Pelodiscus sinensis: one gene and its partners. The protein of the gene in region 3 purifies or fractionates together with the protein of the main gene of each other region. This does not show direct contact. Links are inferred from orthologs where the notes say so. Each region holds a gene or a part of one and is shown on either strand. Other genes may lie near its edges.

The links.
Region 1: the proteins of ARPC2 (region 3) and ARPC1A purify together in Homo sapiens (affinity purification with mass spectrometry; 8 studies listed by BioGRID and IntAct, counting the BioPlex papers as one, with this or other methods). This does not show direct contact. The link is inferred for Pelodiscus sinensis from reciprocal best matches to the Homo sapiens genes ARPC2 and ARPC1A.
Region 2: the proteins of ARPC2 (region 3) and ARPC5L fractionate together in Homo sapiens (co-fractionation; 7 studies listed by BioGRID and IntAct, with this or other methods). This does not show direct contact. The link is inferred for Pelodiscus sinensis from reciprocal best matches to the Homo sapiens genes ARPC2 and ARPC5L.

What each region holds. Positions count from the first base shown.
Region 1 is NC_134726.1:31,936,179-31,946,673, reverse strand, and holds the start of ARPC1A (actin-related protein 2/3 complex subunit 1A), read right to left. Parts: upstream 4,291-10,495; 5' UTR 4,267-4,290; intron 3,697-4,266; exon of another isoform or gene 3,511-3,696; intron 2,633-3,510; exon of another isoform or gene 2,462-2,632; intron 2,211-2,461; exon of another isoform or gene 2,046-2,210; intron 1-2,045. UniProt on the Homo sapiens protein: Probably functions as a component of the Arp2/3 complex which is involved in regulation of actin polymerization and together with an activating nucleation-promoting factor (NPF) mediates the formation of branched actin networks.
Region 2 is NC_134732.1:24,989,897-24,999,787, forward strand, and holds the start of ARPC5L (actin-related protein 2/3 complex subunit 5-like protein), read right to left. Parts: upstream 4,222-9,891; 5' UTR 4,134-4,221; coding exon 3,993-4,133; intron 3,218-3,992; exon of another isoform or gene 1,931-3,217; coding exon of another isoform or gene 1,892-1,930; intron 1-1,891. Other genes in the region: PPP6C (serine/threonine-protein phosphatase 6 catalytic subunit), read right to left, coding at 9,280-9,528. UniProt on the Homo sapiens protein: May function as component of the Arp2/3 complex which is involved in regulation of actin polymerization and together with an activating nucleation-promoting factor (NPF) mediates the formation of branched actin networks.
Region 3 is NC_134717.1:1,292,841-1,303,226, forward strand, and holds the start of ARPC2 (actin-related protein 2/3 complex subunit 2), read right to left. Parts: upstream 4,209-10,386; 5' UTR 4,129-4,208; coding exon 4,055-4,128; intron 1-4,054. UniProt on the Homo sapiens protein: Actin-binding component of the Arp2/3 complex, a multiprotein complex that mediates actin polymerization upon stimulation by nucleation-promoting factor (NPF).

The DNA of each region.
Region 1 (10,495 bases), on a different chromosome or scaffold from region 3:
ACTTTCAACTTATAGGAGAGTCAAGAACAATTCAATACAAATTCAATTCAATAAAATGTTTTAATCATACTCTTCCTAATCACCAAAGAGCTCACTGAAGGACAAAGACACTAATCCACATTTTAGTGAAGTTGGCACTTTGATATTACTGATAGGTGTTTAGTGCAGTTCTCAACCACCAATTAAGGATGTTAAAATGAGGTTATCCAGCTATTTGTATAGTCGATACAAATTCTATCGAATATCCAATTAGTCGATAGGACTGCTCTGCAGAGCCACAGCAGGGGTAGCTTCAGGAGCAGGCTCAAGCCGGGACTGAGCAGTCCTGGCTCGTGCTGACTCCAGGAGCCACCTGTGCTGTAGCTCTGCATTTTAAATGTAGTAAGAGCTGTCAGGCTCTTACTACATTTAAAATGCAGAGGCACAACAATCAGCAAAAGCCAGTATTGCTCGGTCTCGGCTCACACTGAGCCCAGCAGCCCTGTCTGCTGCAAACAGGGCCTAGTGTTGATGTAGCCTCCGTTCGTGGTGGACAAGGCTGGCTGTCACAAATAGAGGCTGCTCTGGCACCAACCCCTGTTTGTGGCAGCCAGAGCTGATAGAGGCAACAAGGGGGAGTAGGTGGCACCCTGGAGATGGCGCTGAGGGGAACCGGTGGCATCCCCAGAACTGGCTCCTGTTCTCCCCCTTTGCTGCCTCTCATAAAGGCAGCCACAGTGGGAACCGGTGCACCCCCCAGCACCGGCTCCTGTTCCCCCCCTTGCTGCCTTTCTATGACAGAGGCAGCAAGGGGGAGTGGAAGCAACTATATTTATTGGATAGTCGACTACTAATCGCTTACATCCCTATTACCAATACTTTTAATACCAATACCTGCCTGTCAGACTAATTTGAGAATCCCCCACAGGAAATATATCACCCTAGTTAACCTTGTTATCTAGGCACTTGGCCTCAGATAGCTACTGAATATAACTGCAGAGTAATAATCTTTGCTTTCCAATATCAACTGGAAATTTAAAATTGGGAATTTTATGTTTTTAATACAGTATCAGATTCCTTTTTGGAGGGAGAAGGGGGGAGATAACAGGGTGAAGAGTATTAGGCTGCTGTCATTCCCTAATTAAGACAGCAAATACACTACAGGGCTATTCCCAACAACCATGGAGTAGGAATACTGCCTGAGAATCCAGATATAGTGCCAAACAAATATTTTTTAACCCCCGCCAATCTCCTTTCAGATCACATAAGTCACCTGGAAGGTAGGGATGTGAAAGTGGAAAGTGCAATCATGTAGACCCGTGGTCCCCAACCCGGTGCCCACGGGAGCCATGGCGCCCGCCGGGCTCTTTACATGCGCCCGCGGAGCAATCTGGGCTGGCAGGTGCCAGCCCCGGACGCATGGCCGGTCCCGGCCCCGGGGGCGCCGCGCGTGCCCTGGCCGGCTCCGGCCTTGGCCCCACCCCGGGGGCGCCGCGCGTGCCCTGGCCACGGCCCCGGCCCCGCGGCGCTTACGGGGGGAGCACCGGCCCCGGGCGCGCGGCGCTTGCCGGGGGGCACCTTCCCCGGGTGCGTGGCTATGGGGGGGGCCCCGCCCCCGGGCATGCGGCTGGGGGGGGCCGCCCCCGGGCGGGCAAGTGTCCCCGCCCCCTGGCGCCCGGCGGGCGAACGGCCACGCCCCCTGGCACCCGGCAACCTGAAAAGGATGGGGACCACTGATGTAGACAGTTAACCAATGAGACCTACAAGCAGGCTCCTGTGGGGGAGCTGGCTTAAACGCCGGCTCTCAGGGAGCAGCCTGCCACCCTGCATTGCTGTCGCTGTATCAGAGGCAGCAGTGCAGGGGGGGGGCAGGCGGGAACCAGTACATGCAACATGCTGGTTGGCTCCCCCTCTGCACCCCAGCTCCAGGGCAGCCGACTGCCACCCGACGCAAAGACTGACAATTTCAGGGGTGACACGGCGACAAAGATTCTAGCATCCCTCCTGGAAGGGCGGTGTCTGCAGCTCACTGCCCCTGCAAGTCGGCCTCTCCCGGGGCTAACGACCCTCCCGCCCGGATACAGGCGGCGTTACAGCAGGAGAAGCTGTTCGCTCAGGCTGTGCCCCTGCTGCTCCTGCCACGGGCGCGCGGGGCTCGCCCTCGACGCTGGGGAGGGCTGGCCCCGGCACCCCGCGGCTCCCCGCACAGGTGCGCCGAGACCTCGGCCCCGGTGAGTGGGGGGGGGGAGGGAGGAGAGACAGCGGGGGGGGGGGGGAGGGGTCAGCCCCGCCGCTCGGCAGTGCCCTGCCCCACCCCGCAGCCGTTGGGAACAGTCGAACCCCCCCGCCGCAAGGAGAATGGGGAGGAGGGGGCGGGGTCCGGTCGTCGCCCCCCCCGCGTGAGGCAAGTGGGCGGGCCCAGGTACTCGCTGAGGGGAGGGGGCCTGGAAGGGCTCGGGGTGAGCGCGGCGCCGGCACTTACCTAAGGGGGGAGGGGAGGAGGCAGCGGAGCGGGACTCGCGGACTCTGGTCAGTCAACGCGACTCCGCTCCGGGCGGCGGGAGAGGGAGCGGCCGGCGGGGCCCGGCACTGACAAGCGATCCAGGAAATGGCCTTGGAGTCTGCGCACTGGCCACGGGCAGCTCCTACCTCTGCGCCTGCGCGCAGAATCGGGGCGGGGTAAGATCCTGCCACTACGCCTGCGCACGGGCCGGGAGTGGGGAGGAGGGTCCCCCCGCACTCTGCGCCTGCGCGTAGAACTGGAGCGTGTTGAGGCGAGAATTCTCCTTACGCAAAGGCGCTGGGGGGTAGGAGGGAAGGGAGGAAGATAGGAGGGAGCATGCGCAGTGTCGCTAGCCTGAAGGGGAGAGCTGCACATGTGCAGTGGTCAGTCCTGGAGATGAAAGTTGCACATGCGTACTGCGGACTGGTTACTGTTCAATGCAGAGCCAGTTCCAAGGTGGTGGTTGGGAGGTGTGATGGCTTGAGGCAGAGGTTTGGGCCAGGATCACAGGCTGATCCAGCAGCTGTGTGAATTCTGACCTCCTTTGCCAAGGGCTTTGACCTACCAAGCTGTGTAAAAGCTAGGGATTAGTGTAAATCAAACTGGAATGCCATTGTTACCCCTTTTGCACAGCTGGGTAAACTGAGGCACAGAACGGTTAAAGTGACATGCCCAAGTTCAGCTTAGTGGGCAGAGCTGTCTCAGTGTAATAGTGTTCTATTCTCTAGGCAACACTACCACCACATTTATAAAAAGCAGCATTTGGAAAGCCAACAAATTGCAGTGCAAAAAGAACAACTCTGAGTGGTGGGATGGGAAGATTAGAGTGATATGCTATCCCTTAGAAAACTGCTTAGAAAACTCATTTAGTTGTACAGATTAAAGATATGTAATTAGGTCAACTACACATTATGCAACAGGACTGAAATTGCATTTAAATACAGTATTACATTTACAAAATGATTTTCACTGGGAGAGGGATGAAACCAGCTGAACCAGATATATTACAGAGCAACTGTGTTTTTCAGGAGCTTGGATACTATGAATGCAAAACTATTAGGGCCTTGTCTACAACGAAGGTTTTCAGGAAATCTCCCACCTGTACTCCAGCTGAATGCAGGTACAACATGTTCCAGTGCAAATAAATTGCTAGCAGTTTCACCAATACATCTGAGCATCTCTGAATTGGGAGTAGAGGACTTAGTAGCGAAAAGGTCAGTGATCAATTTACACTTCTCTAATATTAGTGGAATGTTACTAATGTGAGAGCAACAGTGGGAAGTTTTCAGGAAAACCTGAATATACATTAGAGATGTAACTGGTTAACTGGTGGCTCAGACAGGCTGGAGAAGCCCCTTCCCCCATCTGGTATGGCGCAGTGGGCCCGGCCTGGACGGAGCAGCCCCTTGCCTGCAGTGGTCTCAGCCTTGCTTGGCTGGAGCAGCCCAAGGCTTGCTGGGCTTGGTCAGGCTGCTTCAGCCCAGCCAGGTCTGCTGTGCTACACCATGCATGCGAGGGGCTACTCCATCCTGGCCAGGCCCAACACACCACAGGGGGAGGGCTGCTCCAGCCTGGCCGGGCTTCAGGGGCCCCCACCCGTGGGATCCCATTTAACTGGTTAAAAGGGCTTTTACATCCCTTGTATACATTGTTTGCTTTTAAGTATTAAGAAAAAATGATTGGCCATAGTTTCAAAATGCAAATGTGTATGTGTGTGGTCTACTGTCCCACCTAGAGGCAGCTAGACCACTTACGAAGAGACTCAGTCTACTCTACAACCTTACCTGAAAGGCAGCTGGCTTTTAGCTCACTCAGTAGAGGCTCATGCACTAAGCTTTAGAGGTCCCAGGCTTGGTTCTGCCTGTCAGAATTACATAAGCATATGCAAACAGGTCTCAGCACGTGCACAACATGGATTGCGCAAAACTGATAATTAAACACATGCATTCGTGGGTGAAAGTATCTATTTTAGAAGTGGAATGTAGGCTTCAGCATTTGAAATGTGTCACTTTCAGGCAAAGGGAAGGAAACGCAACATGTTTGGGGAGGAAAAAAAATAAGATCTGGATTTTTTCCAAGATGCACTTGCTTAAGATTTCAGTACAACATTCACATAAGTTATAATAATTTATCAAAATCAACTTTCATAACCAATATTTGAGTAATCAGACTTCTTTGGTTCACATTTTTAAACATAACAACATAAGACTGGCCATACTTATGGTCCATCTAGCCCAATATTCTGTCTTCCAGCACTGGCCAATGCCGGGTGCTCTAGAGGGAATGAACAAAACAGGGAATCCCTGTCCCCCATTCTTATCTTCTGACAAACAGAGGTTGGGGACACCATTTGTGCAAATTCAGGCTATCCTTATCCTCCATGAATTTACCTACCTCTTTTTTGAACCTTGTTAAAGTCCTGCTCTTCACAACATCCTCTGGCAATGAGTTCCACTGGTTGACTGTGTGTTGTGTGAAGAAAATACAGTAAGTAGTTGTCTAGAACTGCAGCAGAGGTGTAGGCAAGCTGCATTTGCTCCTCCAAGCCACTAAGGATGATGGCTCCAGGCAGGTGGGTGGACTCTCTGTCTTCCTTCTCAGCTCCTGCCTGCTGACATCTAGCCATTATGGAGTTCCCAGGTTGATGTGGCAGGTAGGGAGGTGGAGAGTGCAGGTAATTGCTGCAGGGTTGGGAGGCAGAATTAGGGAGGATAATGCAGAGAGGGAGCAGAATAAGGATGAGGGCTCAAGATTCCTCACATGCCTTGGGACTCTCATTGCCTCCCACCTTGCAGAGGCTTGGCTGGCTTGATTTTTGAAGCAGAAGGCAGACTGGTAGGGAAGAGGACGGGGAAGGAAAAAACTAGCAAGTGGCAGGGTTTATCCCAGGCTCTGCTGAGGGATCCCAGCTGACATTGTGCAGCCGTACCCTAATTACCACCACCTTCATTTTGGGACAACGAGGGTGTTTCCGGCACCAGCATTTTCGGGGCTGCAGCATCGTTCCCCCGGCATCGCCATCTCTAGTTTCAACTGACTCCTCTGCTGAAGGGCAATGCTGACCAGCGCAGAGTCATAGACACGTATTACGGCTGGAAAGGACCCTGAAGAGGTCATCTAGTCCATTCCTCCAGCTGAGGCAGGTTTAAGAATCCCAGACCGTCCCTGACAGGTGTTTGTCTACCAGGGTCTTATAAAGCTCCAGTGACAGGGATTTCACAACCACCTTTGGAAGCCTATTCCCATGTGTAACTATCCTTATAGATAGAAGGTTTTCCTCAGACCCAACTGAAATCTCCTTTGCTGCAGATTAAGCCCATTACTTCTTGTCTTGATATAAGTAAGATCTGAAGGAATGCGTCCATGACAGCTAGCTGGAAGCGGGGAGAGACCCTGGGTCTATGTCAGTGGTCCCTGCCGGCGCCATGGCGCCCGCTGGGGCATTTATGTGCACCCATTGAGTGACCAGGGCCGGCCCAAGCCATTCTTGCACCCCGAGCATGTGGTGCATGCTCAGCCTCTGCCCCAGGCGCGCGGCGTCAGCCCCAGACACATGGCACAGGTGCGGCCCCACCACTGGGTGCATGGTTCATGCACAGCCCCACCCCCAGACGCGCCCGGCAGCCTCAAAAGGTTGGGGACCACTGGTCTACGTCAATACAGTTTGCTTCTGCTTTGCTTAGATTTGTTGGGACATTCAGCATAGGGAGTGGTATTTTGCTCATCGTAATCAACTTAATTTGTAACCCGACACCAGCTATGTTTATATTAAATGCAGGACAGCTGAAATATGATTATCAAGGTTTGTAATTTTGTGGGAATACAGAAGAGTAGGACTGTGCTATGTTGTTCCAAATGAAAGGGCTTGCAGCAGAAAGAATCTTGCGAATGCAGGGTCTCGACTTTCAGAATCCTGTAAGGGTAGGGGATGAGGCAGGGATAGGCAAACTTTTCCAACCAAAGAGCCAAACTACATCAACATTCAGAATAAGTGGTCAAGAGCCATATAAGAATGCCTGAAAATATACAACTTAATATTATTGATAATTGACATGATGAATAATAGCATAAATGAAACATTGGAGTCTGGTTTGGGATCCATGAGGGGTTCAGGGTGTGTGGGAGGGTGCAAGAGGCAAGGAACGGTAGTAAAGTATGTGAGGGGCTCTGGGGTGAATTACCTTACCTGGCTGGGGCTGGACCAAGCTCAGCCAGTCCTAAGGACTGACTTCCCTCAGCCCTGCCTTTTCTGGAGGAGGTGGAGCTGCCCTCCACCTTGTCCTGAGACAGCCCTGCTGGATGTAGGGGTGTCTGATCAGGATGGAGGGTGCAAGAGCTGGCAGGGGTCTTGGCCAGGTTCTATGGATGGGGGGAAGCACCGACTAACAGGAGCAGTGGGGAAAGCCTCCAGGTTGCATATCCATAGGTTGCCATTCCCCTGAAGGCTTTTCTTTCCTCACCAGCAGGAAGATGGTGGTGGTGCTCTAGCCTTTGGGTGTGTGGGGACACAGGTGGGACTTGAACCCACAATTGCAGGAGCTAATGCCCTATCCATTAGATCACTGGGACCCACCTCACCACTGTACCTTCAGCTGATGCTCCTGGCCCTAGCAAAGACCACCATCTATAATACCAGGAGCAGGATGTTGGACGAGGGGGTTCTCTGCGACTGTGGGGCCTATTTCCGTTCCTCCCTGGTTTCACGAATCCGGGCAGAGTTCCTCTGGGCGGCATCCACTGGCTCCTTCGATAGCTTTGAGGAGCAGTGGGCGCTGTCCGGGGTTTTCTGCTCGGTGTCCCCATCCGGCTCCCTTATTTTGAACCTTTAGCCCGCACTCCCTGACCCTTTTGTCATTATTTGTCCCAAGCAATTAATTGGACATGGGTCCAGTGTCCCTCCCGTAAGGCTGGGGAGGGGCTTTTAGAAGGTGGGCGGGCTTTGCCCACCCTCCCATGATTTCCAAATAGGACCTTCAGCTGATGCCTTATCCATTAGGCCACCCTCTCCCCTACCTTCAGCCCACTCCTGCACCCAGCAGGGCCGACTGGGTCAGTTTAAGGATGATCTTCAAGTGAGCTCTCAGCATCGCCCCAGTCCCATCCTGATGTTCCTGGGTTTAGCCAAGAAACACCAGTTACAAACAAGCTTTTCTGCTTGCACCGCTGCTTAGCCCGTGCAGCTGTCAATGGGACACTGCACCCACTCAAAGGCAGCGCCACGCAGCTCAGCAAGGAAACCAGCTCAGACATTTTGTTGCTGTTTATAAGTGCAGGTCAGTGGGCACTAGGCCGCTTCAGGCGGGAGCTCTCCAGGGACTGCAGCAGGACGCCACTTGGCTCCTGAGGTACCTGCGAAGAGGAGGAGTCTGGTGAGGTTTGCAGCCCCAGTGCGTGGGCCTGATGCATGTGTGGGGATGGGGCCAGGCCCCACAGGGCAGAAACAGGCTGTGGGCAAAGTGGGCCCGTGGGACCTGACACTGGGGGCTCAGACTCAGCTTCACTTCATCCACGTCAGAAGTTCTAATGTGTAAGGAGAATCATCACTGCAGCCGGCACTGGCAGGTCAGACCCCTCCCGCCATGGCTGCCACCTTCCACCCCAAGCAGGACACCTCAGACCCACCTGATCCATCCCCTCACCACCAGAGCAAAAGGCTTGTCCCCAGCCTCGCCAGGACACCTCAATCCTCACTTCTCCTCTTGGCTCCCATGAGGAGGACCCACCCCCAGCACCTGAAGCAGCTTGGGGCCCATCTTCCACCACACTCACCTCCCACACCAAGCCACAGAGGAAAGGGGAGTAGGGGATGCGGCTGCTGCTATTTGTAGTTCAGGTGCCTCAACAAGCACCGCCCCTTCTCACCAGCAACCAATAAAAGGTGGGTCCTGGGACATGCAATGGTTTGACATCAGCTGGTCCTTGTATAGTCCAGCCTGTGAGGCAGGGTGGGAATGACTAGGGGACGGGGTTACATTGGGCCAACTAGGCCCGAACTGGGGCCTGCAAAGCCCACTTAGGCTGGCTTTGGTCAGTCTGCATCTAGGCTCCCCCCTCCCCCGAGATAATGGCTCTGGCTCTGTGCCCCCCTAGACTCAGAGGGGCTGAGATGACCTCAGTGGCAGAGCCTTGGGTTGGAAGCAATCTGGGTTGAATGTAGGGGCACCTGTGCCAAGCCTGTCTGAGTCAGACAGCTTACCTGGGAGCTTGCTCAGATTTACCAACTCCAAACCCAGCGACCATTGATCTCTTGCCTCTAAGCAGGGGCACTTACTCTGCCTGCCTTGTGCAAATTGGTGAAATGCCAGCTCTGAGATTCTGGGATATATGCATTTTAATAGGCAAGAACTTCAGGATGATGACAACTAAATGAGGAGATGCATAAATGCCAGGTATTTCTTGTGTCTTACATACAAGTTCACACCTGTTACAGCTAGGCTGTGTCTACACTGGGCCACTTATTCCGGAAAATCAGCCGCTTTTCCGGAATAAGCTGCGAGCTGTCTACACTGGCCCTTGAATTTCCGGAAAAGCAATGATGCTCTACTGTACAAAATCAGCCACTATTCCGGAAAAACTATTCTGCTCCCAATCGAGCATAAGTCCTTTTTCCGGAACACTGTTCCGGAAAAGGGCCAGTGTAGACAGACCAGTAGTCTTTTCCGGAAAAAAGCCCCGATCGCGAAAATGGCGATCGGCTCTCTTTTCTGGAAAAGCGCGTCTACATTGGCCACAGACGCTTTTCCGGAAAAAGGGCTTTTCCGGAAAAGCAGCCTGCCAATGTAGACGCTCCTTTTCCGGAAAAACTGAAAACGGAATAGTATTCCGTTTTAAGCATTTCCGGAAATTCATGCCAGTGTAGACACAGCCCTAGGGATGAAAGGTTAACCAGGTAACCGGTCAACATATGCCTTACCAGCATCTTTACCAGCTAACCAGTTAGCCAGAGCTTCCCCCACATGACAGCCCAGTCAGCAGGGCCATGATACGTTGCGGGCCTGGAGCAGCTCCTGTCATCCATGGTGGAGCTATGGCAGTCCCTGCCACTTGCAGCTGTGGTGGGGAAGGAGCAGCCCATGCCAGCCATGGCTGCAGCGAGCATGGCCCAGAGCAGCTCCCTTCACCCGCAGCTTGTGGTTGACTGGTTAAACAAACCATTTAACTAGTTAAACTATTCTGGGTGGTTTTTACATCCCTAGTTACAACACCCAAGAATATTATTTTTCCAAGATTATCACACTCTAGGCTCAAATTCAGTTTGTGATCCTGTAATTAGTCCCAGATAATTTTCAGCAGTTCCATTGCCTCACCAGTAATTTCCCATTTTGTAGCTGTGCATGTGATTTTTCCTTCATTAGTGAAGAATTTTGCACTTATTTTTATTGAATTTCATCTTGTGGATTTCAGACCAATTCTCCAATATGTCTAACTCGGTTTGAATTGTAATCCTGTCCTCCAAAGTGCTTGCAACCCCTCCTGCCTTGTGTCATCTGCAAATTTTATGAACATAGTCTCCATCCAGTTCATTATCCAAATCATTAACCAAAGGTTGTTTAGTACTAGACCCATGACAGATGCCTACTGAACCCTACTAAATATACTCTCCATTATCAGCGACTACACTGATAAATGCTCTTTGAATAGGGTTTTTAAAAGAAGTTGTGCATCCATCTTACTGTAATTTCATCTAAATCACATTTTCCTGTTTGCTTATGAGAATGACATATGGAACTGTGTTAAAAAGCCTTTCTAAATTCCAGGTATATCATGTCCACAGCTTCCCCCTCATCCACTAGATCAGTAACCTTATCAAAGAAGCAATTGGGTTGGTTAGGCATTGATTTGTTCTTGACGAATCTTCCTCCAAATGTTTCTTGGAACTGTCACTGTCCCACCCAGTAGTGCTACTGGAGCTGTATCTACATGTGCTCAGACACTTTTGATCCTGCCTCCCTTAGCTACACGAATCTTGGATCCCAAGCATCACACATTTGAAACTATTGTAAGGAGAATCTG
Region 2 (9,891 bases), on a different chromosome or scaffold from region 3:
CTTAGATGTTATTTCCACCTTGCATATGATTCCAGAGGCTGAACATCCACCAAAGCTACAGACAAATACCTAAATGCCTTTGAAAGCACATGCCCAGGAAGACACAAAGTATTAAATGGAATTATTACAAATGCCAAGATTAATAAAAGTTGCACAACTCCTTATCTCAAACTCATCCCTAGAACATGATGAAAATATCAAATGTGTTAAAAATGAAGCCTGAGCATCTGCTATGGGCAATTAAGGAAACATGTAAGAAGAGTCAACCAAAAAAAAAAATCTCTCCATTGAGCAGTATGTAGAGAGAAAATTAGGGGATTTAACAACATAGATGTGCAAGGAACAGCCTAAGCTAGCTAGAGATAGTAGAGCCTCAGTTGTACTCTAAGCGATTTGAAAGCATGGGAAAGATTCAGATTCCATCTATTTATGAAAGGGAATGAATGCTTACCTCATTTGGGAAACATCCCAATTTGTCTTCTGCAAATCTTAAGTGTAACTGTAGATTTGCAGAAAAAGATATTGAAATGCAGTAGAGAAACTCAGAAAACATCATTAAAAAAACCAGGAGGAGAATGTGGAAGCCTGAGCTTTGCTAATGAAGAGATGTTAGCTTGTCTACGTAAGTCAGATTGTGGTAATGGAGCTAGGCAGTTTGGGGAATTCTATATTGTACAGAAAGTCACAGGCATCAGACAATTAAATACACATTAAAAAGCATGAATAAAAATGCCAAAACCCCCCACCGGATTTATCTTTTACAATTATCTAATTAGTTTCAGGGCTTGGGACCACAAATCTAAACAGCAAAAGCCCAACAATACAGCAAGGATTGCAAACAAGTACTATTTTGCTTCAAGGTCAATTTCCTCTTCACTTACAGTTTTTAAAGCAATTGTTCACATCTGAGTTGACAGGATTTCCTGTCAGTTAAACTAAAAATGACAAGACTTCAGTTATAAAAACAGAAACCTCATTCACCACAAAACTTAAAATTCTGTAAATCAGGAAACTCTTTTTCTTAGTTACTCACACAGTGACCTGTGGAACCAACATAATAACCTAACACTGTCATTTGCTCAGTCCTAGGTATGACGAATAAGAATGGCATTCATGGGGACAGGTCACCTAAAAAGTAGCTTGATGTACTTGCAACTATAACTGGTAAACTCTCAAACTATCTGCTATTTATTTTTCTCATGCTTATAAATACAAGTAATAGCAGGACGGTAAAGAACTAATTACTTCCTTAATAGCAGAGCTCCTTTCTGAAATACATACCAATCCAAAACTATGTTATCAACTTCATACTTGGTTTCAAAAATAATCCCACCATAAAGTAGTTAATCCAGTCATTCCTAACACTTGTTCAGAAGTCTTCCAGGATGCACTTTATCTTATTTGGTGAGAATGCAACTTAAGGGTCAGCTTCTGCTCAGGAAGCATTCTGATCCATATAAAGGAGTCAGCACATACTGAAACTAGTTACTAATCAAATTATACAAACAGAATAATTTATTGGCCTGATACCTAATTTAATTTTTACAGTAAAGGAATCTTAACTACAAAATATAGGTACAAGAGAGTTCAGAGGATTGGTAATGAGAAACAGAGCCCATCACCTTTCGCTGCCAGACTGGAATCCAGTTTTGTTAGAAACCAAGTCTGATTGGTCCGAGCAGCTATCTGAAATGATTTGGTGAGGCTTAATCCAGATCCTTAATAAAGACAAATCCCACATCCCAGACACCACCACAATTATTTTTTTAACAGTCTGAGCAGAGAAGTCAAGCAGTGAATGGGGAGAATGAACTTGTCTTCTCCACATGTGGTAAAGCAGTCACTATTGATGTACGTTAGTGATGGGTGCAAGCTTGTGCCCTTTTTGCAGGTGGAAGACCCAGGCTATCATGCGCTTTTCTCTAGGTGACCTTGGAGAGATCTGCACAACTCCACCTGGTATTTTCTAAGATGCACAAACTAAAACTACTATTTCTCCTGAAGATCACTCCCAGTCAGAGACCATCCAGCTCACCTCATACAAACACATACTTGCTGTAGGCTTAATTTGAAAACAAGTCGTTTTCTTGCTTTCATCTTCTATATAGGCATTTTAATAAAAGGAATAATCTGGGTTAGGTCCCAGTGTGGCTGATGACAGTTATTTTAAGCATTTTTATATCCGTTTGGCTCAATTAACTCACTTCAAAACATACTGTCCTACTTGAAAAATTGTTTCAGAAATGGGATGAGGCAATGGAACATTCTCCTTCTATATAAGGTTCTCTATCCACTTCTGTCTGCAACCCGTATTAGGTAACTAAATTTGCTTCCAATGTTTTTAACAATCCACTATAAACTAAAAATTACAACCACCACTACAAAAATTATCAGGTCCCACAGAATCCCTTTTCTTAAGCTGCTAAACTAGTAGGTCTGTTGGTGGTGCAATATGCAAATGTAGTACCTGCAATCGTACTTCAGGTTTTTTCAGATTTCAGGATCTGATTAGAACCCCATAAGCAAAGAGATAGCAATCTTAATCAAAATTAAAGCATAGTCTGGGACATGCTTTCATTTTTTATGTTTGCTGCTTGCTTTTCTGGGTTTTGTAAATAGCACATACAAATGAGAAAAGTATGAATATTTGTCATGTAAAAAGAGTGTGATGTGATTAGAACTCATTAAGTTGGACCACAAAAGGCAGATGAAAAGGCGAGATGGATTTGGATAATATTTTAGGGATCCACGCATTTTTAGCACTTTAACAGATGTTAGAATGTAAATTATAATATAAATGAGTCCTACCTAGGAGTAGGGACATTAATTGAATAGTTAATGCAATTTGCATAGACTATTTGATTAATTGATAAGGGTGCATCTGCCTTTGAAGTGTAGCAACACCCCAAGGACTATTGCTACACTTCAAAGGCAAAAGCACTGTGGGGAGCATGGGTCCAGTGGAGGACTCAAGCAGTGCCCCGCTGGCCCCATTCTCCCCATGGCTTTTCAAAACAGTAGTGCCACGTGGAGACTGGAGTCAGACCTTGGGCTCCATGTAGCGTTGCTGCTTTGAAATGCCATGGGGAGCCTAGCATCAGGCATCACGCAGCATTTCAAAGCAGCAACACCACATTGAGCCCAGGGTCAGCAGGGCAGTCCCCGGCTGAACCTGGGTTCCATGTAGCACTGCCCCAGGCTGCACACAGTGCTGCCACTTTGAAGCACCCCTGCCATTCTCTCTCTCTCTTCCCCCCCCACACCTCTTTCTGACAGGGGGAGGGGGAGAAGGGAATGACTAATCCACTAGTGTGTCCACTATCTGATAAGCATTTGTTTATTGGATAGTTGACTAGTTGGGCACATCCCTACCTAGGAGCATTATGGAATACCGCAGAACAGTTACATTATACCCTTTATACCTCTCCAACTGTACACATTTTCAAATTGCGCAGAGCTATTTAACCTCGTCCAATCAGTCTCTGTGAAACATTCATTTCCCAAAGTTTTGAAACACAAGACCCCACTCCCTGGGAGTCCATGGAGCCAGCAAAGCCCACACTGCGGCCGAGGCCCAGGGCTGTTCAGACCTGCCATATAACCCAGGGCCACGCAGAACAGTAGAACGAGCGAGCAGCCCCGGGCACCTCGTGACTCACTCAAATGCCCAGAAGCACGAGCCTGGGCCAGGAGAGCCCATTGCGGGGGGGGGGGGGGGGGGGGGGGGGGGGAATGGCCTCGGGCCGAGTCTATTGCGGGCCCCCCCCCCACAAGCGCACGAGCCCCGGGCCCAGCCCGTTGCGGGGGAGGGGGGAGGAGCACGGGTCTCGGGGGGGGAGGGGCCCCCACAGGCGCACGAGCCCCGGGCCCAGCCCGTTGCGGGGGAGGGGGGGAGGAGCACGGGTCTCGGGGGGGGAGGGGCCCCACAGGCGCACGAGCCTGGGCCAGGAGAGCCCATTGCCGGGGGGGGAGCGGCCCCGCCCGCAAGGATATTGCCTCAGCAGCGCCTCCACCTCGGGGCCCGGGTCCGGCTCCGCCGCCGCCGCCTCGTCCGGCTCCTCCACGAACTTGTTCTCGTCGTACTCGTCGATGTCCAGGCGGCGGAAGCGCGAGGAGAGCGTGTTCCGGGCCATGCCGGCGCGAGCCGCCCGCCGCCTGCCGCGCGCCGCTTCCGGGAGGGGCGGAACCGGAAACCCCGCCCCCCGGGGGAGTCTGCAGCAGCCGGAAGGACGAGGGCGGCGTGCGGCTGTGAGGCGGGGACGCGGGGAGGGGCGGGGCTAGGCGGCCGTGGGGGCGGGGCGGAGTGCGGGGGGCGCGGGGGGGCGGGGCCCGGCCGCAGGGAGCCCCGCCCCGAGCGCTGCCCTTGGCGCCAGGCCAGCTGTTCCCCCGCGGGCAGGGAGCCGGAGCGCCCCCCCCCCGGGCACGCGCCCTGGCTTGTGTCTGCGGGGGGGGTCCGGGTGGAACCGGCAGGCCCGTGTCCCAAGGGTCCGGTTAACACCCGGCTGTGTCCAGACGAGCCGCTTTTCCGGAAAACCTGCCAGCTGCCTACACGGCCGCCTGGATTTCCGCAAGAGCACGGACTCCCCACTGTCTGAATGGGGCTTCCTGCGGGAATGCCGGCTGCTCCCTTCGGCAAAGGCCCCTTTGCGCAAAGCTTTGATTTGGTTTCCACAAAAAAGCCCCGATGGCGAAAATGGCGACCGGGGCTTTTTTGCAGAAAAGCGCGTCTAGATTGGCAAAGACGCTTTCCACAAACAGTGCTTTTGCGGAAAAGTGCCCTGCCAGTCTAGACGCTCCGTTCCGAAAATACTTTTAACGAAAAACTTTTCTGTTAAAAGCATTTCCGGAAAATCATGCCAATCTAGCCGCAGCCACGGAGACAATGGGAGTGTCGGGTATTTTCTAAATCCGATGCAATGTAGATTGTGATGCAATGTCACATGTGTCCGGTAGTTTTGTTGAACTCATCTGGCAACTCTACGTGGGGGGGTGGGCAGGTTAGAATAAAAAAGTTGAGAACCACATTAAACCATAGCAAGCGTAGGGCTACGGTAGCCCAGCTCCTTACGTGGCCAGGTCCACATACCAAATATTTTAATTACATGACAAACCATTTCAACTCTGCCCTCCTTTTAAAGTTATGCTACTAGGTTCAACCATCTCATAAATGGACATTTCCTTTTAAGATATGGAAGAAGGTGGTTTGTGACTTCTTGCAGCTAGATTTATGAATGAAGAAATTACATGCTACTCCCCATTGCTGAGGTTCTCCCCACCCCCAAGCTGTGTTTCAATTCCAATAAAAGTCTTCATTTCTCCTGTCAAGCATTTCAGTTTGCTTCTCTGTTCTTGAGAAAATGAATTGTGCCTTGGAGATACAAGAAAACAGTTAAGTTCATGACAGTCTAACAATAATATCAATGCAATCAAGATCAATTGATTTTTCCAACATTTTCTCATGCAAACTTTTTTTTTTTTTTTTTTGTGTAATAGAGAAGACATAATTGGACACTGTAGAGGGATCAGAGAAGCCACCACTCAGGTACAGTTTTATCCAAGACTTGAAAACTGTCATTTTAATACAATTACTGCCCTAAAAAGAACCTGCTGTAAATGAAGTGTATCTACTAGATTAACAGATCAGTAAATGGTATCACACTACATGCATGAGCTGAGATAGTGGCAGCACCTAGAATAATCACACCACTTCTTCCATAACAGTTTACAGAAATACCATTTGGAGTTGAGCATTACACAATTGAGGGGGTCAGTCTAGAACAGGGTTTCCCAGCCTATGGGTCAGGACCCAAATATGGGTCTCCATTACATTTCAAAAGGGTTGCCAAGTGTCTCTGTCCTCCTCCATTTTTTAATTGCCTTGGGTCACCAAGTCTTCCTGATTGTCAAAATGGGTCCCCAGCTACGAAAGGTTGGGAACCGCTGGTCTAGAACAAGGGCAGGCAAAATTCGGCCCACAGCCTGGCCCACCAAACCACCGCATCTGGCTGCCACCGTCTCACAATTCAGTGGGAGCCTTGGGGAGGCTCCCTGCCTGCTGTTTCCCTGCACACTGCTCACAGCAGCTGGTTGTGGGGGCCATGTGCTCTTTGCATGCTGTCCCCACCCCCAGCACAATCTCACAGGTCCCATTGGCTGCAAACCAGCCAATGGGAGCTGCCTGGGCCATGCTTGTGGCATAGGCAACACCCTGTCTCCCAAAGGATGCACAGCTTACAAAGAGCATATTGTCCCCACAGCCAGGGGCTTTGAGTGGCATGTGGGGACATGGTCTGCAGGGAGCCTGCTAGAGTCCCCCAGTGGGTTGCTGGCCTGGAGCCACCTAAGGTAAGTGCCTGTCAGTTAGCACCTCTACTGGACACCCCCCCCTCTACTACATCCCAATTCAATGCCCCAGGTCATAATCCACCCTCTGTACCCTTGTCCCAGATCACAATTTTCTCTTGTACCCATCCTTGCTCCTGGACTCTGCACTCCATTTTCCTACCTTGAGCTCTCTTCTGTACCCAACCGCTATAGCAGACTCTACCCCTCTTTCGTTAATCTCATGGAAGAGTACAGCCCTTGACCACTTACCAAATTCTTAGGTGTGCTCCCCCCTCAAAATTATTGTCCACCACTGACCCAGAAACAAAGTTCCATGTTTGAATGGTGTTAGGACATAGGTATTCAGGCCTATTTATTCTACCAGTGAAATACACAGAGACGTTTTGGAATTACAGTTCATCTGCAAGTTCAGTTCTCATGCTAATGGGCTCAATTGGGACGAGGGATGGCTGGGCCATTACCAACCAAACATTCAATGAAGGTGCAAACAGCTCTTTAGGTAGATTTTTGTGTTAGTATCCCCCCCTACTGACTTTGATCCTTATCTGCTTTATTTTAACTATCCAATCTTCAGGTAATTACTGATTGCCTATTCTGCCTTCCTGTTTTTCCCTTTGATTTTTTCATAATCTCTGCTCCTTGTTTCCTACCCTCCCCCACCTTTCTTTTTTTCCTTCCCCCTTATTTATTTTGGGTCTGCACATCCTAAACTCAAAACTCTGGTTATCTGAAGAAGTGGCCTGTACCCACAAAAGCTCATGATACCATCTACAGGTTTTGTTAGTCTGTAAAGTGTTACCAGACCAGTTTTTAAGTATAAATATACAATGTAAGACAGAATTGGTGCAAGAGGAGTTTCAAGTAAACAAAATTAATTTTAATCACATATCAAGACGTAAATGAATTTCCAGTGTTCCACAATTATAGTTGTCAGATTCACATTCTTGTAAAACAAAAATCCTCCTCCCCAACTCCCAAATTATTCCAAGATTCAAGGCATGGATATTTCAACTGTTGACCCAACAAAGCTAAGAAAAGTCTTCAGAGAATGTGTGTGCTTCTATTTCAGTTTATACCATTTACAAAATTATAGAAATCAAGGTCCAAATCCAAGAAAAGTGCACTTGTGGGTTTCTGTACCACATGTGAGATCAATAGGAATCCAATGAGTCTACCTGTCCCATGATCCTTGCCAGATCTACTTATAAATTTAGTACCTTGCTCTTCATTTATATGAAGTCAAAAAGATCAGATTGTTAAAGAGTAAGTTATCCTATGAAAAGAGCATGTATGTTCAAAACTACATAAACTGTTTTACTTTTGCCTGGCTTCACCAGAATACTTCTGAAATGTTAGGAAAGTAGTGACAGTGAAAGGGAAATAGCACATTCTTAAATCCCAGTGAGATTGTTAACTTGAGCCATTAGAGATGCTATAAATATACAAACTGTAAACTGAGTAAGAATGCAATAGAACCCTTTGGTAGTGCCAGGACTTGTTCCATACCTGTGACTTATAAGAGTCTGTCCAAAAAGTTAAATTATGTTTCAAGACCGCAGTCTTGGACTCAGAAGTGTTTTTACTTGCACTCAAGAATTAAAACTTATAAATTAAAATCTCAACATTTTCTTTGGTAGGAACCTGTTTACCCACTGCCAACTCTAATTGCTTTCCAGCTGTTGAATCTTTGCTGACACTATTAGATGCTTAATATTGCGATTTTACTACTGTGGCTTTTTCCAAAATTTCAATATGGAATTAGGTATTTTAGGCACAACTGCTTAAGTTCTCCTCTGAAAAGTAATTTCAAGAGTGGTTTTGTGGACTTCCCTATTTGTTTCTCATTGACCTCTAGATCAAATCCATTGTACAAATATCCCTTTTACCTAAAATCAAAGCCAAGATTGGTGTGGTATTCAGAAACAACCTAAGCTATTACAGTTACAACAAGGTTAAACAATGTTGTTAATTTACAAGCAAGAACAGGACCCAGCTCGTGTCTCTGCTACATTAGTATTTGCAGAGTCAATAACAGAAGTGACAAGCAATAACTTATTTTAGTATGTAAGTGACATCTATCCAAGGAGTGGCTGTAATGAATCATGTCATTTCTATACATTCAGTTTTCAGAAGAGAACCACTCTTTTAAAGTTTGTGTCCAAAACATAGTATCGTAACATTAAGATCAGTTCTATAATTGATAGCCAAAGTAGTTCTTACTGAGGAGGAAAGAAGACATGCTCACATCAACAAAGTAGGAGTTTTATTTGCAATATTTAACCTAGGAGGTGGGTTTCATTTAAGATATGACTTTATTAAAAATACAAGATATGACAAATCAGAACAATTATTATAATGTACAAATTCAATAGCTGTAGCAGTTTTTTGTATTTTTATTGGAATCCTTAAAAAAGGGGGGAGGGAGAGACAGCCCTTTAGACCATTTTATTTTCTATTCACTTAAAACAAGATCTAACAAGGACAATTGAGTTTTACATCTTGTACGTGTGTACACAGCACAATGCATTTACAGTCCCATCGTGCACACTAGGCAATAACTTTGCTGCTGAAATTTCTTTAAACTTACCAAACAAAAACCTGAATGATATAATGGGATCAAAATAGTTCCGATTATGATTTTTTTTTGTAAAGGGAAAAATGTCTCACCTGAAAACAGAACTATACAAGAACTATGTGCAGCAGAATACATGTCAGACATTTCACAAGCATTCTCAAATGAGGGAGGGAGGGCACATGGAGGGGGAGGAGGAAGTCTAGACACACTGCTACAGACACCATAATACACAATACATTTAGATAATTTAAAAATAAAAAAAAAGGCAAGAGGCAGCATTTCAGCAGCAAAGTGCTCAATAAAAAGGATATAGAGGGATAGTACAAGGGAATGGGGGAACAGTAGGAGGGGAAAAGATCTCAAAGGAAATACGGTGTTGTTGTTCTAGGAGGAATTACACGTTCTGAGTCTGGAACTGCACGGAACAACTTTGGTTCTCTTGTATTTACATCTTTAAAGACCATGATTGATGCAATATTTCCACAACGGTAACAGTAATTTGGAGCAGACCATACTGTTACCAGCTTCTCATCAAACATGAATTTATAGCCTTCATGTACTAGCTGATGTGCTCTGCAGATGAGTTTTAAGTTGTTGATATGAACAAACTGTAAATTTAAAGAAAAACATTTATAGTAAATAGTTATACTTAATACTTAACTGTTCTATATCCCCTAAAATGTTGCTCTGTCTCAAGATTACAATATTTTACTCAAGGAGAACAGGTCTGCTAAGCAAATCTGCAAAGTCTTCTACAGGATCGCCACTAAGTTGAACTGCAGATGAGATACTATTTATTTCAGACCCCTGACTTTTCCCTCAAACTCCTGAGACCTACCAAATTGAGATACAGGTTGAACCTCTCTAGTCCGGCATCCTCAGGAGCCAGAGAATTTGCCAAACCACAAGAGGTTAATATTGCTTGGCAGCATTACCAACACTTTCAATGTCTTCTAAGAGCCCAGCAAGCA
Region 3 (10,386 bases):
GACTCCGCCAGACAGTAGAACAGAGAAGGATTATTGCTTCTCCGAGGTACAGCACAGCACAGAGGTTATGTGGTTTTAGGAGTCAGGGCCAGGATGCCTCAGACCCCATGACCCTCAGCTAAGGCTGTTTCCTTCATGTTTCCCAGCCAGCCACTGCCTCACTCTCCGACCCTGCCCCCAAACCAGGTGTTCGTCTCTGCCTCCCTCCCTTGGGGGGGGGGGGGAGCCTTGTTACCTGCTCAGGCTGGGCCTAGGTGTCTGGGCTAATACACATGTGGGTGAGCCAGTGGGAATCTCACATCACAGCGTAGGGGGACACCGGGTTACAGAGCAGACAGCCCCCCCACTATGTCACAGAGACTTGTTCATAAAATGCTCTGAGATCCTCAGCTGAAAGGCACAACAGAAGTTCAGTGCACTGGGATGTGGCACGACCAAAGAAATGTAGTGCACATATCCGGAGTCTTGCTTCATTACATACAGTGTGCCATAACCTCACAGACTTCCTCTCTGCTTTGCAGCAGACACACGGCAAGCATTCACCTTGCTGGCCTTGTGGAACTCAGAGAGAATGATAATGTTAAGTCCAGGCTTCAAAAATCCCACTTACCCACTCAGCTATTGCAAGCCCTGCCTGGACCACACAGGGATCTAAGCCAGCAATAGTCTAAATAATGCTGGCTAGCATATTTCGTTCTCTGGCTAGCATTCAGACGTTTGTCCTAACCACCAAAAGCGTGCTCAGTGTGGTTTGAGACATGCTGACTGCCCAGAGACGCTTCCATTTGATTCTACTACAATTCCTGCTAACGGGATTTAAGACAATATAACTAAGATGATTTAAAGCAGACTCTTCAACAGAAGCACCCCAGAGAAACTCTGAAACACACACCCTGCAGTGTGCCAATAGCTCTAAAACCATTTTAAAGGTGTGGGGATGAAAGAAAGCAGTTAACATTAACATTTGCTCCCAGGGCTGCTCTCTCACTGGAGGGCACAAAGGCTGAAGTGTTCCGATGAAGAAAATGCAACAGTGTCCGGCAACAGAGGCGTTCAAGTGACATGTATGCAGTAATAAGTGCAATACATTCTGTGGCAACAGCTTTTAAAGGCCCTATAAACCCAACATTAAAGATGGCATGGCTGCATTTTTGTCCTGGCTGCCAAAGGCGTCACAGATTCCATCATTTCCACAGGTTTTTCTTTATAGGGAACATGCAGGAATTGACATTCTGGAATTCTCGCATACTGGTGGGTGGATGTAATGAACCAGCAAGAACCTCATGCAACTTGGCAGCTCTCATGGTTTGAGTGGGAGACAGAGAGAGGGGCTCAGTTATATATGAAACCAGATCAGTAAATTCTTCTCAAGAACTAAAGATCTTCCAAGGGAAGGGAAAGATTCTTTTTGGCAAGAAATACAAGGCCTGTCAAGTGCTAGCCAACCTGTCTTTTAAGATGCTTGTCAAAGTGATCGTTTCCACAGGAGTAAAAGCAACTCATGTTCTGCAGGATCACATCTTTACACAGTACACATCTCAGAGCAGGGACCTTGCTGCCCAGCCTTTCTAATAAAGTCCTATGTACACAAGTGAGGTTATAAATCAGGGGTGGGGAACTTAAGGTACGGTGGCCAGATGCAGCCTCCTGGCTTGCCTGGATTCTGTCCCCGAGGCTCAGGACTCCCCCCTCTCCCATGCTGGCACCACAGGATTAGAGCACACAAAATCTACTAGACCAGCCCCCTCCCCAGGCTCTGGTGTGCAAGGGGAATGCAAATAGTGTCAGTTCACTGGGAACCAGGTCAGAGAGGGTTTGGGGTTTTTTGCTCTTCTCACTTGTGTATGGCCCCGACTGATTTTTCTGTGGGTCAGCGGCCCCCCAACCCAAAAACGGTTCCCTACTCCTTCTATAAACATCTTCAACTGGCAGTAAGCTGGATTTCAGAAGTCACTTCTAATTCTATAAAAGTATTTCAGGGCAGGTTCTGAAAGTTTTATACATGGTGGATATTATCCATGTTCTAGAGCTGGGAAAACAAAGCTAAAGTAAGTGACACCACCAAGGTCATACAGCAAGCCAGTGGCAAAGCTTGAACTATGACCCACGCGCCTCATACCCAGTCCTGTATCCTAACCATTACACATAACTGCCTCTACACTAGTTGGTATTCTCACACCTTTCTACGCATCTCAGGACTTGCTCAAGTTATTTGGAAAAAAGTGGGAAAACGATTACTTCCAGTAAGATGCCCTAACTTGATTCTTTTCCTGTTACCAAAGTCTCGTGATATTGCCCTCATCACAACCATCCTAAAATGCCTCACAAGACATTGCCTGAAAAAACAACAGCTAAAATGGAATAAAGCAAATGCCATCCGTGCCACCCATAGATCTTAAGATCCCACCATGGACAAATATCCCTTTTCCAAAAGGACTATTTGATCTGAGGAAGTGGGTCTGGCCCACGAAAGCTCATCATCTAATAAACCATCTTGTTAGTCTTTAAAGTGCTACATAGTCCTGTGTTTTGTTTCAGCTACACCGGACTAACACGGCTACATTTCTAACACCAGAGTTGTGCTTTGACTTTGAACAACAGAGCACATTTTGAGATCACAAACTAATAAATGTATAGACTGACACCCACTCCATGTGACTTATGAGACACATGACAGCTTGAAAAAGACATCCCTGAATGTTTCATATCCTTGTCTTGCCCCTGTTCTTGTCTGAACAAGAGCGCCTTAGTATCAACTAAAAAAAAAAAAGCAGAAGTTACAACTTCTTCTCTTCTATCACCATGAGCAAGGTACAGCAATAAAGTCTGTTTGATTCACTTTGAACACACAAAAGCAATGCTCAGATTAATATAAAGCAAAGGCAGACAGCATCAGCAAACCAAGATACTGAGATAAGTAGAACCAACTGTTGGGTCCTGCATGCAAGGAAGGTCAGTGCAGAAGTGACGCTTCCTTGTAGGGCAGAATGGAAACCTGCAACTGTTACAGAATGAGTAAATGGTCATCTTCGGGTAATGTGGCAAACGAATGTCTGAAGGCTGTACTTTGCAACCTCAGCTGTAGTCATGTTATTAGATAAGAACAGTGATACACGTCCTCCAAGCTGCCTCCAACAGGAAGAGCTCCCGAGTGTGAAGCCTCACGACAAATGAGCAACTCAGACACACACAACCTCCAACAGACAGTATTTTGCTCGAGAAGGCCAGGCGGTAGCTGCGCTTTCACAGGGTCAGCGGAGGACTGAGTGTAGAACATGGTTGCCACATACTGGGCAGGACCCTTTGCATTAAATGCTTGGAAGAGAAAAGCTGTTTAGACCTATGTAACGTGCAGCCCACAAAACCTCATCAGGCTCTAAGAAAAGCCGGGGGGCTGCGCCGATGCCTCTTTTATCCCCAAGCGCCCAAGGACGACAGAGGAGCGTGTCCCTTTGCAAGAGGCTATTGAACCATCTTGTTAGTCTTGACAGTGCTACACAGGCCTGTTTGTTGTGTCCGCCGCACCCGACTCACACGGCTACGTTTCTACCGCTATTGCTTTGCACGGCCCAGCCAGCGCCTGGCTGGCGGGGGGAAGCCGACAGGAGCATGCCCCGCTTGGCGCAAGCCAGCGCTGACCCGCGCACCCCCAGTCACCCAAGAGGCACAGACTAGAAGTGAGAGAGACCAGGCCGGGTCCCCCCCCCGCGGAGCAAGCACGGCCGGGCCCGCTCTGCGCGGAAGGGAGCCGCGCCTGAGCCCCCCCCAGCCTGAGCACAAGCCCCCCCCCCCCCGGCAGCGCAGGACCCGCGGGCGGCCCAGACTGGGGGGCGGATCCCACCTGCCCCGGGGCCGGTGACCAGGCGCGGAGAGGGGGAGGGGGCCCCACCCCGCGAGGGAGGGGGAGGGGGCCCCACCCCAGAAGGGAGGGGGAAGAGAGGGGGCCCCACCCCAGAAGGGAGGGGGACCCCCCCCGACCCGACGCCCCCCCGACCCCGGAAGTGCCCCCCCGACGCCCCCCCCGGCCCCGGAAGTGCCCCCCCCGGCCCCTCACCCGGCGGCCGCGCTCTCGAACTTGAGCGCCAGGGTCTCCTCGATGATGCGGTTGTTGACCTCGAGCAGGATCATGGCGGCGCCGCGGGGGGGCGGGGCGGGGGGGGCCGGAGGGACCGAGGCCGGGGAGGGAGCCGAGCCCGCTGCGCGCACCGGGGACCCGCCCGAGCCTGCGCCGCCGCTTCCGCTCTGGGCCCCGCCCCCCGCGGCCCGCGTCACTTCCGGCCCCGGCCCGGGGGCCGCTGCGCGCGCCGCCTACGGTTGGGCGGGGCTGGGGGGGCCGCTGGTGCGCGTGCGCGGGGCGGAGCGTGGTGCCTGCAGAATCCGAATTCGTGCGCGCGATGGGCCGGTGTGCACGGGATCCCGGGAGCCTGCCGAATCCGAATTCATACAGGGGATGGGCCGGTGTGCACGGGATCCCGGGGAGCCTGCCGAATCCGAATTCATACAGGGGATGGGCCGGTGTGCACGGGATCCCGGGAGCCTGCCGAATCCGAATTCATGCAGGGGATGGGCTGGTGTGCACGGGATCCCGGGAGCCTGCCGAATCCGAATTCGTACAGGGATGGGCCGGTGTGCACGGGATCCCGGGGAGCCTGCCGAATCCGAATTCGTACAGGGATGGGCTGGTGTGCACGGGATCCCGGGAGCCTGCCGAATCCGAATTCATGCAGGGGATGGGCTGGTGTGCACGGGATCCCGGGGAGCCTGCAGAATCCGAATTCATACAGGGATGGGCCGGTGTGCACAGGATCCCGGGAGCCTGCCGAATCCGAATTCATACAGGGATGGGCCGGTGTGCACAGGATCCCGGGAGCCTGCCGAATCCGAATTCATACAGGGATGGGCCGGCGTGCACGGGATCCCGGGAGCCTGCCGAATCCGAATTCATACAGGGGATGGGCCGGTGTGCACAGGATCCCGGGAGCCTGCCGAATCCGAATTCATACAGGGATGGGCCGGTGTGCACGGGATCCCGGGAGCCTGCCGAATCCGAATTCATACAGGGGATGGGCCGGTGTGCACGGGATCCCGGGAGCCTGCCGAATCCGAATTCATGCAGGGGATGGGCTGGTGTGCACGGGATCCCGGGAGCCTGCCGAATCCGAATTCGTACAGGGATGGGCCGGTGTGCACGGGATCCCGGGGAGCCTGCCGAATCCGAATTCGTACAGGGATGGGCTGGTGTGCACGGGATCCCGGGAGCCTGCCGAATCCGAATTCATGCAGGGGATGGGCTGGTGTGCACGGGATCCCGGGGAGCCTGCAGAATCCGAATTCATACAGGGATGGGCCGGTGTGCACAGGATCCCGGGAGCCTGCCGAATCCGAATTCATACAGGGATGGGCCGGTGTGCACAGGATCCCGGGAGCCTGCCGAATCCGAATTCATACAGGGATGGGCCGGCGTGCACGGGATCCCGGGAGCCTGCCGAATCCGAATTCATACAGGGGATGGGCCGGTGTGCACAGGATCCCGGGAGCCTGCCGAATCCGAATTCATACAGGGATGGGCCGGTGTGCACGGGATCCCGGGAGCCTGCCGAATCCGAATTCATACAGGGGATGGGCCGGTGTGCACGGGATCCCGGGGAGCCTGCCGAATCCGAATTCATACAGGGATGGGCCGGTGTGCACGGGATCCCGGGGAGCCTGCCGAATCCGAATTCATACAGGGATGGTCCGGTGTGCACAGGATCCCGGGAGCCTGCCGAATCCGAATTCATGCAGGGGATGGGCCGGTGTGCACGGGATCCCGGGGAGCCTGCCGAATCCGAATTCATGCAGGGGATGGGCCGGTGTGCACGGGATCCCGGGAGCCTGCCGAATCCGAATTCATGCAGGGGATGGGCCGGTGTGCACGGGATCCCGGGAGCCTGCCGAATCCGAATTCATGCAGGGGATGGTCCGGTGTGCACGGGATCCCGGGGAGCCTGCCGAATCCGAATTCGTACAGGGATGGGCCGGTGTGCACGGGATCCCGGGGAGCCTGCCGAATCCGAATTCATACAGGGATGGGCCGGTGTGCACGGGATCCCGGGGAGCCTGCCGAATCCGAATTCATGCAGGGGATGGTCCGGTGTGCACGGGATCCCGGGGAGCCTGCCGAATCCGAATTCATGCAGGGATGGGCCGGTGTGCACGGGATCCCGGGAGCCTGCCGAATCCGAATTCATACAGGGATGGGCCGGTGTGCACGGGATCCCGGGAGCCTGCCGAATCCGAATTCATGCAGGGATGGGCCGGTGTGCACAGGATCCCGGGGAGCCTGCCGAATCCGAATTCATGCAGGGGATGGGCCGGTGTGCACGGGATCCCGGGAGCCTGCCGAATCCGAATTCATGCAGGGGATGGGCCGGTGTGCACGGGATCCCGGGAGCCTGCCGAATCCGAATTCATGCAGGGGATGGGCCGGTGTGCACGGGATCCCGGGAGCCTGCCGAATCCGAATTCATACAGGGATGGGCCGGTGTGCACGGGATCCCGGGAGCCTGCCGAATCCGAATTCATACAGGGATGGGCCGGTGTGCACAGGATCCCGGGGAGCCTGCCGAATCCGAATTCATGCAGGGGATGGGCCGGTGTGCACGGGATCCCGGGAGCCTGCCGAATCCGAATTCATGCAGGGGATGGGCCGGTGTGCACGGGATCCCGGGAGCCTGCAGAATCCGAATTCATACAGGGATGGGCCGGTGTGCACAGGATCCCGGGAGCCTGCCGAATCCGAATTCATACAGGGATGGGCCGGTGTGCACGGGATCCCGGGAGCCTGCCGAATCCGAATTCATACAGGGATGGGCCGGTGTGCACAGGATCCCGGGAGCCTGCCGAATCCGAATTCATACAGGGATGGGCCGGTGTGCACAGGATCCCGGGAGCCTGCCGAATCCGAATTCATACAGGGATGGGCCGGTGTGCACGGGATCCCGGGAGCCTGCAGAATCCGAATTCATACAGGGATGGGCCGGTGTGCACGGGATCCCGGGAGCCTGCAGAATCCGAATTCATACAGGGATGGGCCGGTGTGCACGGGATCCCGGGAGCCTGCAGAATCCGAATTCATACAGGGATGGGCCGGTGTGCACGGGATCCCGGGAGCCTGCCGAATCCGAATTCATGCAGGGGATGGGCCGGTGTGCACGGGATCCCGGGAGCCTGCCGAATCCGAATTCATGCAGGGGATGGGCCGGTGTGCACGGGATCCCGGGAGCCTGCCGAATCCGAATTCATGCAGGGGATGGGCCGGTGTGCACGGGATCCCGGGAGCCTGCCGAATCCGAATTCATGCAGGGGATGGGCCGGTGTGCACGGGATCCCGGGAGCCTGCCGAATCCGAATTCATGCAGGGGATGGTCCGGTGTGCACGGGATCCCGGGGAGCCTGCCGAATCCGAATTCATGCAGGGATGGGCCGGTGTGCACGGGATCCCGGGAGCCTGCCGAATCCGAATTCATGCAGGGGATGGGCCGGTGTGCACGGGATCCCGGGGAGCCTGCCGAATCCGAATTCATGCAGGGGATGGGCCGGTGTGCACGGGATCCCGGGAGCCTGCCGAATCCGAATTCATGCAGGGGATGGTCCGGTGTGCACGGGATCCCGGGGAGCCTGCCGAATCCGAATTCATACAGGGGATGGGCCGGTGTGCACGGGATCCCGGGAGCCTGCCGAATCCGAATTCATGCAGGGGATGGGCCGGTGTGCACGGGATCCCGGGGAGCCTGCCGAATCCGAATTCATACAGGGGATGGGCCGGTGTGCACGGGATCCCGGGAGCCTGCCGAATCCGAATTCATGCAGGGGATGGGCCGGTGTGCACGGGATCCCGGGGAGCCTGCCGAATCCGAATTCGTACAGGGATGGGCCGGTGTGCACGGGATCCCGGGGAGCCTGCCGAATCCGAATTCGTGCATGGATAGCACAGATAGGCTGATGTGCTATGAGTGAGCCTGTGTGCACGGGATCCACATAAGCCTACAGAATTCAAATTAGTGCATGGAGTCTGTTAGCCTGCAGGAGTGCAGGGGCCTAGTGCAGGGGGCGGACTTGTGGGCATAGGATCCCCCATAAGAATTTTTGTTTTTGGGTGGGGTGGGGTGGGGTGGGGTTGTGTGGACAAAGGGGATTCAGTGGATATTGTGTACTTGGACTCTCAGGCTGTAAAGCAAAGGTGCTGTGGAGTGAGAGAGAAAGGCTTTTCATGGAACAGTAACTGGTTAAAAGACAGAAAATTGGCTAGGAAGAAACCGCCCATTTTTCAGAATGGAGAGAGGACTGGAGTACACTTCAACTATTCATAAATAATCTGGAAAAGGGGGTAAACAGTGAGATGGCAAAATTTTCAGATGATATAACATTGCTCAAGATAGGCAAGTCCAAAGCTGACTATACATTGTCACAAAGGGGTCTGACAGAACTGGGCCACTACGTGGCAGATGAAGTTCAGTGCTGACAAATGCAAAGTAATACACGTTAGAAACCAGTACCCTAACTACACACACGACATCATGGGTCTAAATTAGCAGTTTAGGAAAGAAATCTTGGAGTCACTGTGGAGAGTTCTCTGAAAACCTCCACTCTGTGCAGCACCAGTCAAAAAAGCCAAGAGAAAGTTGGGAATCGTTAGGGAAGGGACAGAGAATAAGACAGAAAATATCACTTTGCTTCTGTATAAGTGAAACGTGCATTAGTACGCAGGTCTGCTGGGTTCCATTTAGCATCCAGGAAGCATAGTCACGCACAGGGTCAGCTTGTGTGCACAGAATCAGTATTAGTGCACACATCTGCTGGGGTGCCCAGAATCCCAAAGAGCGCACAGGTTCTTGTTCGTGTGCCACCACAATGCAGCATCAGTGCATGAGATCTGTAGCTATGTCCAGGATCCATATTATTTCAATGCTTTCATTTGTATGCCCAGGACTCAGTCAAGCGGCCAGGATGTGCATACAGTATGTATCCGTGTGCCCATCTTGACAGGAGGACTCCAGTCCTGCACCGTGAATCTGATGGTGCACAGAATCGCCACATGGGTACAAACCACCAGATCCACTCACAAACTTCAGAATCTGTGGTGATGCAAACGATCTATTTGTGTCAGGGTCTGCATGGCTGCACACACAACACCCACAAACCACTGGCGCTTGCCACCTGCTGGCGTGCACGGAATCGCTGCGAGCACACAAGTTTCACGCAAGTGCTGAGAAGCCACATGAGTGCACTGGTTGCCGGCAGGGATCCAGGGAGTAGATGTTTTGTTTAGATACATGGAAAATAATTGCCAGTGAAACATACAAATGTGTTAACTCTGTGGGGATTGTGATCAACATGTGCCTGAAAGATTTGAAGCAGGAGACGTGAGGAATTGAACCCAGGAGAGCCAGCACCGATCACTGAGTCCCACACAGAATCTGTTCATATTCCCAGCACACACTTCGCCGTAGTACAATGACTGTGCTTTGTGGGTTATCTGCGCTGCTTATTTGTGTATCTGGTGTGCACTGAAACCGGAGGTGTGCCCACAAACCCAGTGGCCCTGGGAGACTTGAGATCCTATCTTGCCACTGCCCCTACGCGTCGCAATGTGCAGGTTCCATGCTCAGAGCCCAACCCCCAAGGACTTTGCTGTCTATTCTATTTTTTATTTGAATGCATAAATCTCCATCTGACGGGCCACCCCATCCACACGACACACCAGGAAGCGCAAATCCGGGTGCAGTGGGCGGAGGTGTCCCCGCCCCCAGCAAACTAACCCGCCCTAATGAGCAAACAGGTGGCGTGGCCCTTCCCCGGCCCATCAAAGGCTGGCAGAGACCGGAGTGATGACTGCACTGGGCAAGACCACGCCTCTGCCTCTTGGGATCTTGACAGGGCTGGGACGAAGAGCTTTGTTTGGCTCCTGAAGCCCACAGGTTATTTACGAGGGGGCGGGGCTGAAGAGAGCAGGACGTGAATTGTGCGGCGGGCTGGATCATCAACTCGGGAGAGTCAAGATCATTCCTTTGCGGGACGGGGCAGCGTGGTGCAAGGGCAGGGAAAGCTTCTCCAACCCCTCCCCTGGGGGCCCTCGTTCCTGCCTCTGGCTCTGGGCTGAGAGGGATTCGCTCTCCACTGGTTGGCTGAGTCCTTGGCGGGTCTATGGGGCCTGCCACCTAGTCCCCGTAGAGAGTCAGCACCCGTCTAGGGTAGCAGACCAAACCCCTCGCCTGCCTGCCGTCGGCCACTCCCCAGCCATGACGTGAGTCTGTTCGACGGGACTCCATCCGGCGTTCTCCTTCCGGGCCAGTCGGAAACCGCGATCCCTTTAAACAGCTGCCACGCTGCACCCGCGAGGCGGCC